Linked DNA regions of Arabidopsis thaliana. The protein of the gene in region 1 interacts with the protein of each later gene in a pairwise test. Each region holds a gene or a part of one and is shown in the gene's direction. Other genes may lie near its edges.

Region 1 (4,169 bases):
TTCACAATTTCTCTTTTAAATAATTAAAGACCACAAATTTTGAACATAAGAATTAGAAAAATTAAAGATCATTCACTAGAGTAGTCGACATTATTATTAATTTAGTATAAATAAATAAGGTGTGAATCCACGTGGGATGACAGGTGGGAGCGAAGTCTAGTGCATGTCATGTAAGATTTTGATTTACTTTCAACACGCTTCATCGCTATTTGGACCACTTCGCTGACTTTTTTTTGTTTTTTTTTTTACTACTGAGTAGTACTAGTATTTCTTACACATATCAGAGCCAAAAATACAACCCCGACGAATCTTTCTTTAGATACAAATAAAAAATATTTACTCCTACAAGTTTCATTCACCGTACGTTTTACTTGTTATATCATTGCAATGACGCGGCTTCTAAATATGTACTACCATATGTGTGTTTGGGAATCTGACAGTTGTATATTGCACTGGATCCAAACCATTTCAGAACAAGAGTACATTTTCTCTGTTCGTACGCATTATTTGTTTTGTGCCGACTGCGAATATAACGATTTCCATTTATTCATATACTAAATATCATACAATCCATAAATGAATAGTCTTCTTTTTTTCTTGGGGGAATTTACAATTCCAATCAAATTAATTTCTTAGCTAATCATAACGGTAGTCTTGTTTTCTGTAACTTAATTCTTCTTCTTTTTTATTTTGATAGGAACGTTAGGTATCTATTATGTAAAACTTGCTAACAACAATTCTCTAATTCTTTGTTTATATCTGATCTCTTCCTCCATGACACGGGGCTAATCTAAACTTCTAAAAGCATATTGATCCAATAGCTTATTTAATATATTTTGTCTGTCAACCATTAGGTTACTTTTGTTACGATGAATTTTTCAAAAGAAAAATACAAGAATTATGGGATGAGGAAAATCTAGTGGGTCAATTGACCATAAAGGCTAAATCGGATTGAAGAATAAAAATCGGATTGTGACTCGTAACTCGTAAGCGTGACGAAATATTAACGCAACATTTATATGTATTGGGACAAATTATTAACGAATAACTACCAAATGCAAAAAATACGAGACAGTTGAGTACTTGAGCTTGGTCACAAAATCATCATCAAGGAAAAACAATAACCATACAGTAAAAATATAGTTCTACAACTTTACAAATTTGAAAGCGTGTTTAGAATGATGCACACAAATAATCAATCTGTCAAAAAAAAACATATTGTTTGATTTTACTCTAAGATTAAGGCGATTGTTTTTACTTAAGATATTCTTAACTGATGCAAGTTACCCCTGTAATTGTTTGAGATTGCTATTTTTAAACTCTAGAATACGAAGAAAAAAAAAGTATGAATTATTTAGTTAGCTGCTTTAAATCTAGAGTTTATCATCCGAAAAAGGGATATCTAAGCTTTATTATTTTTAATGTAATCACGAATTGTGTCCTTTTCACCAAAAGAGTCATTCGTGTTCGTATTTTATTCAACTAAATAATTCTATAAGTTCTAGTATATTCAATAATTATTAAAAAATCTCATCTTAATAATTTTAATTAGAGAAAAGAACAAAAAACTACACTTCTATCGTCCCTCTACGATTTCACACCTTCTTTTCACACATCCTTATAAATTAATTAGATTCTTCTCTTTTCTCTCCTTCCTCTCTGTCTTCTCTTCTTTTTTTCAATGAAACCTCTCTTCATTTATAAGTAACCCAACAAAAAAATAAAATTATCTCCCTCTTATTTCTTCTCTTCACGTCACAAAGACAATTCGATTCCAAATAATGGACCGACGTAACCCTTTCCAACATCACCACCACCACCATCAGCTTCATCATCACTTGATCCAACAGCAACAGCTTCCTCCGCCGCCGCTGAGCACCACGGCGACGATGGATCCCGGCGGAGGAGGAGGAGGTGGGGAGAGAATCCCACAGTGGAGCATAGAGGAGACAAAGGAGCTTTTGGCTATAAGAGAAGAACTTGATCAAACTTTCATGGAGACCAAACGTAATAAGCTTCTTTGGGAAGTCGTGGCTGCTAAGATGGCCGACAAGGGTTTTGTCCGAAGCGCAGAACAATGTAAGAGCAAGTGGAAGAACCTCGTCACTAGATACAAGGTTACCCTTCAACTCTTTAGAATCCTATTGATGATTCTCTCTATATATAGTCCCGATATATACACCTATAAATGTTTAGTATGATCATGATTACAAGTATATACAAACTATAATTATGTGTATCATGTATTTCATCACTAGTTTGTGTGGTTAGACTGATATTATGCATATTGAAATGGAAACCTAGTTTATGGTGTATGTATAGGTGAACTACATTATATATACATCAATTAATGAGCTTAACCTAATCGCCTAGGTTTTTTAGATATTGTCCTGTCATTAATGGTAACGAGCTATAGAATAGAATTTTACGCGTTTATTGGTGAGCTTTCATCATGATATTGTCTATGTTCACATTTTGATCCGTTATACCATAATATCTCTCTTTTTGTTCGTTGATCACATGGTAAGTAAGTAACACAATATGCCATAAAAATATAATTACCGTTATATAACGGGTGCATAAGATTTAATAAGAACCGTTACTGATGAACACATGAAGATAGTTGAAAAAGTCTATACACACATTTATTTAAGGTAAAAGAAACGTGATATAGATGATGAACATGTGTTTTTGTTTTCCTATGATATATGATTTCGAGTTAAGATACTTGGTTAGCTAAAATATTTTGCGTCGGTACTATTACGTGTTTACATATAATTGTTTATATAACATAATGAATATTCATGGGACAGGCGTGTGAGACCACTGAGCCAGATGCTATTAGGCAGCAGTTCCCATTCTACAATGAGATTCAGTCGATTTTTGAAGCAAGAATGCAAAGAATGCTGTGGTCAGAAGCCACAGAACCAAGCACTTCCTCGAAGAGAAAACATCATCAATTTTCATCTGATGATGAAGAAGAAGAAGTTGACGAACCAAATCAAGATATCAACGAGGAATTATTGTCTTTAGTAGAGACACAGAAAAGAGAGACAGAAGTGATTACTACTAGTACTTCGACCAATCCAAGAAAACGTGCAAAAAAAGGAAAAGGCGTTGCGAGTGGTACGAAAGCTGAAACTGCGGGTAATACACTAAAAGATATATTGGAGGAGTTTATGAGGCAAACGGTGAAGATGGAAAAGGAATGGAGAGATGCATGGGAGATGAAGGAGATAGAGAGGGAGAAGAGAGAGAAAGAGTGGCGGAGGAGAATGGCGGAGCTAGAGGAGGAAAGAGCCGCCACAGAAAGGAGGTGGATGGAGAGAGAGGAAGAGAGACGGTTGAGAGAAGAAGCTAGGGCTCAGAAGAGAGATTCTCTCATCGATGCTTTGCTTAATAGGCTTAATAGAGATCATAATGATGATCATCATAATCAAGGTTTCTAAGTTCTCATTATTTGTGTTAAGCATAAGTTAATTAGCTAGTTAATTTGTTAGGCAAATCAATTTAGATAATATATCTAAATTAATGTTTGTTTTATAATATTTATATGAACTATTGAAATTTCCAAAAAGAAAGATAAATGTTCAAATTTTGATATATGTTATCGTGGTATGAAAATGAATTTATCCTTCTAAAAACAAAAAAAATCCTGGTGGAGAAAAATAAACCTTCAATATTAGAGGAAGAAAAATAAATAGAGAGGGAGTAAAACGAGCAGGCAATTACTAAATATAATATAAGGTAACATGTGAATTAACTAAACGATAAGAATAAGAATTAATAAATCATTTAATAGTTTACGTACATGCATAAAACAATTGTATAGATATTAATTAGATATGCTAGTTTGAATTATATTGTTCATAGTTATAGGTGTCCAAAACCAAATTGGTTGAATACTTTTAGCTACTTTATTCTGTTAATAAGAATATTTCATAACGATTAATCAGGCGATAAACAAGAATTAAACAAAAGTCTTTATTCCAAAACTTTCAATTCACATTTGTCCCACATTACTTCACCGCGTTATTTGTGTGATATATAAAACTTATTTTGTTCATAAGTAAATTGTAAAGAAAGAATTTGTTATTTTTATTCTTTTCTTCTCTTGCAAGACAGCTACCAACAGATAAAAATACCGAAAACATGAAACCGTGTTATAA
Region 2 (6,589 bases), on another chromosome or scaffold:
TCCAAGCTACACAAACTTTTTAGACTTATTTCTCTCATTCTTCTAGAGATTTTTAATGAAATTTGTATATACTTGAAATGCATATAAAATAAATAAGAAAACAATATCTACTTAATGTCCTGTTCAAGAATTATTAAGAAATTTCACTACGTTGTTAAGTCCATTTTACTCCACCTTCTCCACTGGAGTTAGACTCTACTAAGTCGCGTTATCCTGCAGAGTAAAGATTGACTATGCATTGGACCTTGTCGATGTGAAAATGTTAAAAAGATAATTATTATGAAATCTCTACTATAACATATTTGGTTTCCTCAATTTTAAAATACCTATTTTTTTCTCAGTTTACCATTAACCAATCTATTCCGTGATATTTAATGTTTAAACCCTTCTTCAATTCTATTTAACCTACATTCTAAACAAGGTGTCCTCATTTTCAAAATCCTAAACTCATCTTCATCTATATTTCTATTTTCTGCCAAAATCATACCACAAAAAACATATACGAAAAATGACCACGGAAATTGTCTTTTATTGTTTATTTCCAAAGTCAACCAAGTTGACTGTTCTTTATATAATGATTTTTTTTTAAAAAATTATATATTGAGCTAAGAAAATATTAAGTGTAATTTTCAAAAAGAGAAAATATATTTATTATAAAAATCTATAGTGGTGGATCAAAATTCTGGTTTAAATTATTGTATCAATTTTGAGGTTCAAATTTTAGGATGGAAGAGAAACGTAGAATGCACTTAAAGTTCTGTCGATTTTTGTTAGTACATAATCCCTCATATAACCATACATATACTTATTGCAATAACCATACGTTAAGAATAGGGACCAACTTCATCGGTGCTTCTGTTAGACATTTCAAGAATGATATATCACATTCATGTATCTCCGTATATGTATTAAGACCAATGACTAAACTCAGCCATTGTAGATATAGTTCAGGTAAAACTGTCAATTGTGGATCAGTATGTTGAAAATTGTTAACTATGGTTCGCTTGTAACAGAATATAAATATAATAATAATATATAATACTAATAGTAATATATATAATAATAATAAAAAGCAAGCACTAATTATTTTATAGAAACACTTTAAAAAGTATTAAAATCTCATTTAAAACAACTCTCCAAGTTGGTAGTCCATTGATCTACAAGACAGCTCCACCTGAACCACATCCACAATGTAAAATTTAACCGTACACATAAACCATGATCATAAGATGCAACATGGTAAAATCTCTGGTGAAGTTTTCGTAATCGATGATGAATATATATATATATATATATATATATATATATATATATATATATATATATATATATATATATATACAATATATTTTTATTTTCAATCTATTTAGTAAGTACATATTTGTTATGAAAGTACAAAAATAACATTGTAATAGGTCAAGCTCTTTGTGGTGGTTTACATTGTAATAGGTCAAGCTCTTTATTATTATTTTACTATATGTATCTTCTTATCCATTCTTATATTTTATATCATATATGGTCAAAAGAACCAATCGTATCACAGCAGCATTTGTTAATAGAACTTTGATCTTGGTAATTACAGGTTCTATATTGAAATCGCAGGAGCCAAACCAGCAACTTGGGTTAATTATTAACTTCATTCACCAATAATAATAATTGATCGTCAAGACTATTTCGGACACAAAGACATAAATACTTGTTTTCTGCTCTCCCTTTCCCTAAATGTATCATTTGATACTTTCTCTTTTTCCCTCCATATGCCTTTTGTGTGTATAAATATATGTATATGAATAAGTTCACAAAAATAGAAAATTAAATCAAATCTTCGCGTAATTTCTCATCAAACTCCACTTTTCTTCTTTTTAAGAGAATCTAGGGTTTCTTCTACTACTTCTTCTTTCTTCTTTAGGTGGTCAAATTTCCAAGTTCTTCTTTTAGCTCTCTCTTTTGTTTCCAAGAAACCTGAGAAGAATTTTTGTAGATATGGGAAGAGGAAGGGTTCAGCTACGGCGGATCGAGAATAAGATAAGGAGACAAGTGACATTTTCAAAGCGAAGGACCGGTTTGGTAAAGAAAGCTCAAGAGATCTCAGTGTTATGTGATGCTGAAGTTGCTTTGATTGTTTTCTCCCCCAAAGGCAAACTCTTTGAGTACTCTGCTGGTTCCAGGTTTGAATCTTTCCTAAGCTAATTAATTTACCAACTTATTTTAAGATCGCATATTTATCTACATAAATATTAGCCTATATTTCATGTTTGACATATTGGGAAAAGTGGTATATATAGGTTTCACATAGAGGAGATTGATTTGAAATTGGCTGAGATTGTTTAATTAATTAAATCAGTTTATAGCCAATTTTGTTTAGTTCTTCCATCTCTAACTTAGAGAAGATCATAAAAAATGAATGATTGTACAATACTATATATTAAATCAAAAGAAGTGATTAATAGAGATGATCGCATCAAAAAATAATTGTGAGACATAACAGTTCCACAGATTATATATTATCCAAAAAATATGATGGAAGAATGTGCTAATTGGGCAAACATGATTACGAAATAATATACGTATTAATATAATTTGATTCTTGAGGACATATGTATATATGTTGAACATATCATGAATAAAGAGAGATCTTTCATTTCATTGTTGTGTAAGTTTGTTCTTCAACGTTCTGGAGATAATTAAAACATGATCTACATAAGTTTAAAGAGATATTTAATACAAAGTGTACAAAAAAACTTTAGAATTAACACCTGCAGGCTTAGGATCAAACAAGTAGATCTAATGCTCAAAGTTAGCTTACTTTGGCACTCATAGGAGACTTCATTTTATTTATTTCAAGGAAAAATATAATAAATTCAAGGAAAACGAATTTTAAAAAGGGTTCTTGAATCAAAATAATTTTAATGTTCTTCTTTTGGAATAAATCTGCTATTTACATTTTACTTAAAAATAAAATTGAATGTTGACTAAAATAAAAATAAAATGTTGACTATAATACAAAATAATTTTGGTGGTTTTAACTAACTGAACATATTCTGGTAATAACAAAACATTATTTATCAGAGAATTTAATATAAAAGAAATGAACTGTAAATAATAGCAATTTAATTTTTGAAAAATAAATCCAATTTTAAGATGACGATTTTTTTTTTTTTAGTAATTGTCAAAACAGAACAGTAAAATACTAGGAGACATAATTTGTGATGACACCGTCTAAATTATCTCCAAGGTTCATGTAATATCTAATGCGGTATCATTGGATCAAAATGAACGACACACCAAAAGAAAAACAATTATCTCAATATACACAAACATACTAAAGAGGGACAAGAAATCTACTATAAATAGAAGAGTCAGCTTTCGATCATGATTGTAGTAACTAATAATAGTAAACATGAAACTTTGATTTGATTATGTTAAAATAAAAATTTAAGATATACAGCTAAAATCTTGTTGGAAATTGGAAGCATGACAAGCCTTTGTATAGAGCTTTGTGCATTGCTTTGTCTTTTGGTTGGCGGAACCTAGGACTAACCTCGATCGTCACATGAAAATATACAAACCCATGAAGCTACTTTTCTAGCTTGTAGGCTTAACTAGAATGTTCAAAAATGAATTTGCTTGCAAACATATTTTAACAAAATTTGAGTAGACTTGGTGTATCGATTGCTATAGTCTAATCAATACATTCAATTAATGTATCAAATTGTTTGCAAATGTAGATTAAAGTTCTCGATATAGAGCTTAAATTAATTTAGAAATGTTTCAACTAAAGTACAAAAATGATTATTCAATATCTTCAATGTATTTGTTGAGTGATGATAGTATATACATCGAGTGTTGATTGTTGTTTGATATACTATTTTTTTAGCATGGAGAGAATTCTTGATCGATATGAGAGGTCTGCCTACGCCGGTCAAGATATTCCTACACCAAATTTGGATTCACAGGTTCTTAAGCACATTTAAGACATATGAGTATATATATATGAATCATTGTTTATGGTATGTTTATGGTAAACTTAACTATCGTGTATCGATCTTTTTATCATTTGTAGGGAGAGTGCTCAACAGAATGTTCAAAGCTCTTGAGGATGATTGATGTCCTGCAAAGAAGCCTGAGGTAAGGACTTATTACTTACGTATCATCCAAACATAAAATACATACCTAAGATATCTAAATATGTACAAGATAAGAAATTGCATCTTTATCAAATTATAAGGCACTTAAGAGGAGAAGAGGTGGATGGTCTAAGTATCAGAGACCTTCAAGGTGTGGAGATGCAACTTGATACTGCCCTCAAGAAAACTCGCTCTAGAAAGGTTATTTATATGTATACAAAAACATTGTAGTATATTTTCTATACATGCATGGATCATTTGTATATACAAATGTGTATATCTAATAATGTGCAGTTTGTGTATGCATAAATATACACAGATATATAGATAAACTACACCTAATCATGTAGTAATTATTGTTTTGGTTTGGGAGCACAGAACCAGCTCATGGTAGAGTCCATAGCACAGCTTCAGAAAAAGGTAATACACTAATTAAGAGACTATCGTTGTTATGGTTGTGCCTAGGCCTGGACGTTTGAGTTTACGGGTCCGGTTTTAGTTTGGTTCTATTTTTTGGTTTTTGAGTTTAGGATCCATTCAAGTAATTGTTTTGGATATTGTTTCCACCTAACTTTTGGTATTTCGAGTATTTTTGGTTATTCGGTCTAAAAATAACTAATTATTTTAGGTGTATAAAATGTATTTCGATTCGCTGAATATTTCAGTCTGGTTCCCGTTCTTTCAGTTATGAAGTTATAATCCATTCGGATATTTACGAATTTTGGTTCGTTTTTCTATTAAGTTCCTCTCGGTTTGGTTAGAGTTTGGTTATTTTGCCTAGGACTACTTTTGCCATGCAAACTCATGTATCTGCCTGTCTTTTTTTTCTTTTCGGGTTTGTACAAAACATTATACTTATAGTAGATCTTCACAATTAGTAGTCTTTGATTTTGAGAAATAAACACAAATACATATACTAGATCTTGAATACTTGACTCGATATGAGTTAAACTAATAAATATGTGTCTTTTCTTTTGATGGCATAGGAGAAGGAACTAAAAGAACTGAAGAAACAGCTAACAAAGAAGGTGAAAGTGATGTTAGAATCTTTGACTATATATATAACCAGTTTCTTATAAAATGTAGAATTCACTTAACTTTTAAGAGAGATTAGTCTAGGCGCTAGTTTGAACTCTCTCAATCAAGTGTCGATTTTAAATTTATATTTGAATGTTAAGCAATCGGTGACTGGTAAATAGTAACTATAACAAGTATTGAATTTGGCAGGCTGGTGAAAGGGAAGACTTTCAAACGCAAAACCTCAGCCATGACTTAGCCTCCTTGGCAACACCGCCATTTGAATCACCCCATGAGCTTCGCCGGACAATATCTCCTCCTCCTCCTCCTTTATCTTCGGGGTACTTTAAAGTTTGATTTCACATAGCTACAAAGATAGTAAAAATATAAATGATAATTTGTTAGTGTTGATCAATGATAGTAAGGTAACATATTATAGTTTGTATCAATATTTATTTATCGTGTATATGAGATGAATTAATAAACTGCTTATAGGGATACATCACAAAGGGATGGAGTTGGAGAAGTAGCTGCCGGAACCCTAATTCGAAGGACGAATGCAACGTTGCCTCATTGGATGCCCCAGCTCACCGGAGAATAGAGGTCCGAAACAATCTTGGTTTTTTAATTTTCTGTACTTAATATATAGTACCGGAATAACTTCTTGAGTTAAGTAGAACCAATCCGAATAAAAGAAAATATCTTCTGGCTTGGCATTCTAGGAACAGGCTTAAGAGGCCCTCAAGTTTCAAACTTTGAACGAATTTAGAAACATTGTATGTCTAATGTGATTTTGTATATTGTATCTACGATTTTCACTTTACTGTTTGTGAAAAATGTAATTTCAGTGTAATGAAAAAGAAGAAAAGAACTATAAACTATATTTTTTATGACATATTAATTTCTATAGAAGGTAGGAGAAAACGTTTAATCTATTTTAGAAGCGTTTTGTAAACAGATTTTGCTAAAACAAAATACTTGACAATGTTTGGTAATTTTCTAAAAGTAATTACGATATTTTTTTCAAATAGTCTTGACTATTAAATATGCCATTCAAGAGTCGTCCTCACACTAAGCCGTGTGAACCAATTTACGACTCTGCCTCGCCACGCGATTCCTCCACGCCTTAGCATCGCCGGAGAAAGAAATATTGATTCTCTGCATTGAATTTCATTTTTTCCGGGAGATAGAAACATTTGTCATATGAAAAAGTGTGACTTAAAAACTATAGATTAAAGTATTTCATATACATAAGACGATGTCTTGGTTTAATTTAGACCTTTATGTTGCCATTTGTCCATTGTTATCTTTTATTTATCGATATATTATAGTTTGTCTTGAATAAATCAAACTTCGATATATTTCATTTTGTGTTTTTCCATTTGTCTAATTTATTTTTCTTTTATATATAAAAACTTTTCTTTTGGCCATGTAGCAAATATTGT
Region 3 (2,647 bases), on another chromosome or scaffold:
CTAGCTGCCTACGTTAATTTTGACACCTAGCGGAGCCTAAGTCATCAAACAACATCATCCAACGTTAGAGGAGGAGCTCTGGCAGCGGCCAACGACTTTGCCTTCTCTTTCTCCAGCAAAGCTTCTATGTCTGAGCACTTTTGCTTCTCTTTCTCCAGTTGAGCTTCTATGTCAGAGCACTTCTGCTTGAAGATCTTCAGCTCTTCCTCTAGTTCTTGCATCCGAGACTTACCAATCTGCTCTTCCATCTTCTTTTCCTTCACTTCCTCCAATTTACGCTCTAACCAATCCACCTTAAAGTCCGAATCTTTCAGGTATCTTAGTGCTTTCTCTGCCTGGCCCAGGTCATCAATGGAAATGTCTTGCAGTGACTGGCACAGTGTATCGATTAGGCTGAGGAGGACATTCATACATGATGTCCTCACATGTTGGTTCTTTGCTCGGAACTCTAGTGCCATGTTTGGGTGTCTTTCAAAGATACGTTTCACCGATTCCACCTACAATTGTAAAAAAAGATGGATAAAGTATAAACTCATGTATAGTTTGTATACGTATCCACAAACTGAATGGTTAGATTATAAAGATGCCATTTATTCCCTACATTGTCTTAGTGTTCTACTGATAATTTCTAAACAGAAAAAGAGACCACCTCTAATCCAAAGTCAGCAACAACAAAGAAGGAACTGGTAAGACTTATAAGTTTGAAAAGCATCTGAAATCAGTTCCTCCTATCTAATGAAAAGCATCTAAAAAGTTTGAATCTTTATGAACTTGTTACCTGTGAAGGAAGAACCTGAAACCCATTGACATCAATGCTTTGTTTTACGGAAACACCATCATCGTTTAGCCTTATCCTTTTCAGAGGTTGAGTTACTTCTTGAGATCCCTCTGAAACATCTAATTTGCCAATAACTTGAAGAACATCAACCTCCACAACAATCTTGACTTCATTGTTCACAAGAAATCCACCTTTCTTCGCATTAAGTTTGGTAAGGGAAATCATGTGTCGATTCCCAGAGAGAACAACGTTTTGGTCAAACCATGTTTCCGTTTCTATAGACAAAGAAAAGATAGAACTGATCTAACTCAAAACAAACACAAGCAGACAGAAATATAAATCACAAAAATAGGAACTTTGCTTTGTCCAAAAGCCTTATAGAAATCACCTCGTTGTTGGGAAAGTTCATCGGAAAGTTGATTTACAACAGTTAGGCGAAATCGTGTGTATCTTCTCCATCCACAAGGCAATGTTTTTGAAGTAGCAACCATCAGAAACAGAGACAAATAATTAGCATTCTGATATCCCTTAAGAAACCTGCAAGCAAAAAAACCATAGAAAAAATGGAAAGATGTTCTCATAAACCCTAAGTTGGACCAAAAAAACAAAATTAGAGATATAACAAACTTGTCTTCTTCTTACCATTTGCAGCCACCGATAACGAATTTATCAGAATTAATGTACTTAGATTGCAAAGATGAGAAATTCTTAATCACCCAAGTGAACTTCTCATACCCCATTGAACTTCACAACCAAACTATCAAAGCCTAAAGTTAAGGACGACCAAAGCAACGAAACCCTATAACCTGACTGTTCACTAGCACTGACACTGTTGTGTCGAACCGTTCTTGCAGCGCTCGTCTTCTTCACTTATATAGATTATGGGCTTCAGCCCAATCGCATTTTGGCCAAATTTAACATAAGTTTGTGGTTGGATTGAAAATAGTTAAAACAGAAGGGGTAAAAAGGTAAATAAACTTAAATCTCTTGAAACATCCATAGGCATAGCAAGTATCAGAGAGAGACCTACCCTAGTCCAAGAAGAAGAAAAGAGTTTCGTGTTCTTCAAAAAGCAATCGGAAGATGGTCGAGCACTTAGCGTCAATATACGGAACGGAGAAAGATCGCGTGAATTGTCCTTTCTACTTCAAAATCGGCGTTTGTCGTAACGGAGATCGATGCTCTCGTCTCTACACCAAACCAAGTATCAGCCCAACGCTTCTCCTTTCGAATACGTATCAGCAGGGCCGGCTCAAACAATTTCTGGACCCAGTACAATCACGAGAGAAGGACCCTAAAAAAAAATTTTAACTTAAGAAAATTACATTTCTTAGTTGTGATAAAAACGATTCCTAATTAATCTGATGAAAAGAGAACATCGACAACTAAAAAAAACAGAGGACAACAGAACATCCTTCAAAACATTCATTGCATAATCGTTCAAGTAAATAAAGCCTTTCTTTGTACATGATCTGCAGCAAAATCATCAATCAACGTCCCGATATTATCACTCCTGGTGTTGATGTATGCAAAAAGATTTCGAGGTTTGTAACTTTTTCTTCCTCAGGAGATTGAATTTTGGGAATGATTTATGTACGAAGCTACTTGTTTGCAAGTATCTTCCTCGTACTGTTGACAAGTAGCTTCGTACATAAATCATCCCAAAATTCAACAGTAAAAAGCATTAGCATGTCACATGTTTCTTCTTTTGTCATGTGTGGTTCATATAGATTTCCTATGTTGTACTAAAACCACCTGACTCTCTTGACAGTGGATTGAGGAGGCAGTTATATGGAAGATACAAAAACAGGCATAGCCATTGCGGAAGTATAGGAGCCCTTACAGGCATTATAGTCACGAAGATCGCTC

Evidence for each region.
Region 2: the proteins of AT5G01380 (region 1) and AGL79 interact in a two-hybrid assay, tested with the Arabidopsis thaliana proteins (one large-scale study listed by BioGRID).
Region 3: the proteins of AT5G01380 (region 1) and AT3G44785 interact in a two-hybrid assay, tested with the Arabidopsis thaliana proteins (one large-scale study listed by BioGRID).

Annotation. Positions count from the first base shown.
Region 1 is NC_003076.8:155,064-159,232, reverse strand, and holds AT5G01380 (Homeodomain-like superfamily protein), read left to right. Parts: upstream 1-1,631; 5' UTR 1,632-1,781; coding exon 1,782-2,117; intron 2,118-2,813; coding exon 2,814-3,449; 3' UTR 3,450-3,623; downstream 3,624-4,169. UniProt on the Arabidopsis thaliana protein: Probable transcription factor that binds specifically to the core DNA sequence 5'-GTTAC-3'.
Region 2 is NC_003074.8:11,907,136-11,913,724, forward strand, and holds AGL79 (AGAMOUS-like 79), read left to right. Parts: upstream 1-1,734; 5' UTR 1,735-1,983; coding exon 1,984-2,168; intron 2,169-3,877; coding exon 3,878-3,956; intron 3,957-4,063; coding exon 4,064-4,128; intron 4,129-4,228; coding exon 4,229-4,328; intron 4,329-4,505; coding exon 4,506-4,547; intron 4,548-5,113; coding exon 5,114-5,155; intron 5,156-5,354; coding exon 5,355-5,485; intron 5,486-5,639; coding exon 5,640-5,745; 3' UTR 5,746-6,031; downstream 6,032-6,589.
Region 3 is NC_003074.8:16,327,663-16,330,309, reverse strand, and holds AT3G44785 (Zinc finger C-x8-C-x5-C-x3-H type family protein), read left to right. Parts: upstream 1-1,861; coding exon 1,862-2,089; downstream 2,090-2,647. Other genes in the region: AT3G44790 (TRAF-like family protein), read right to left, coding at 45-497, 779-1,053, 1,167-1,315, 1,421-1,518.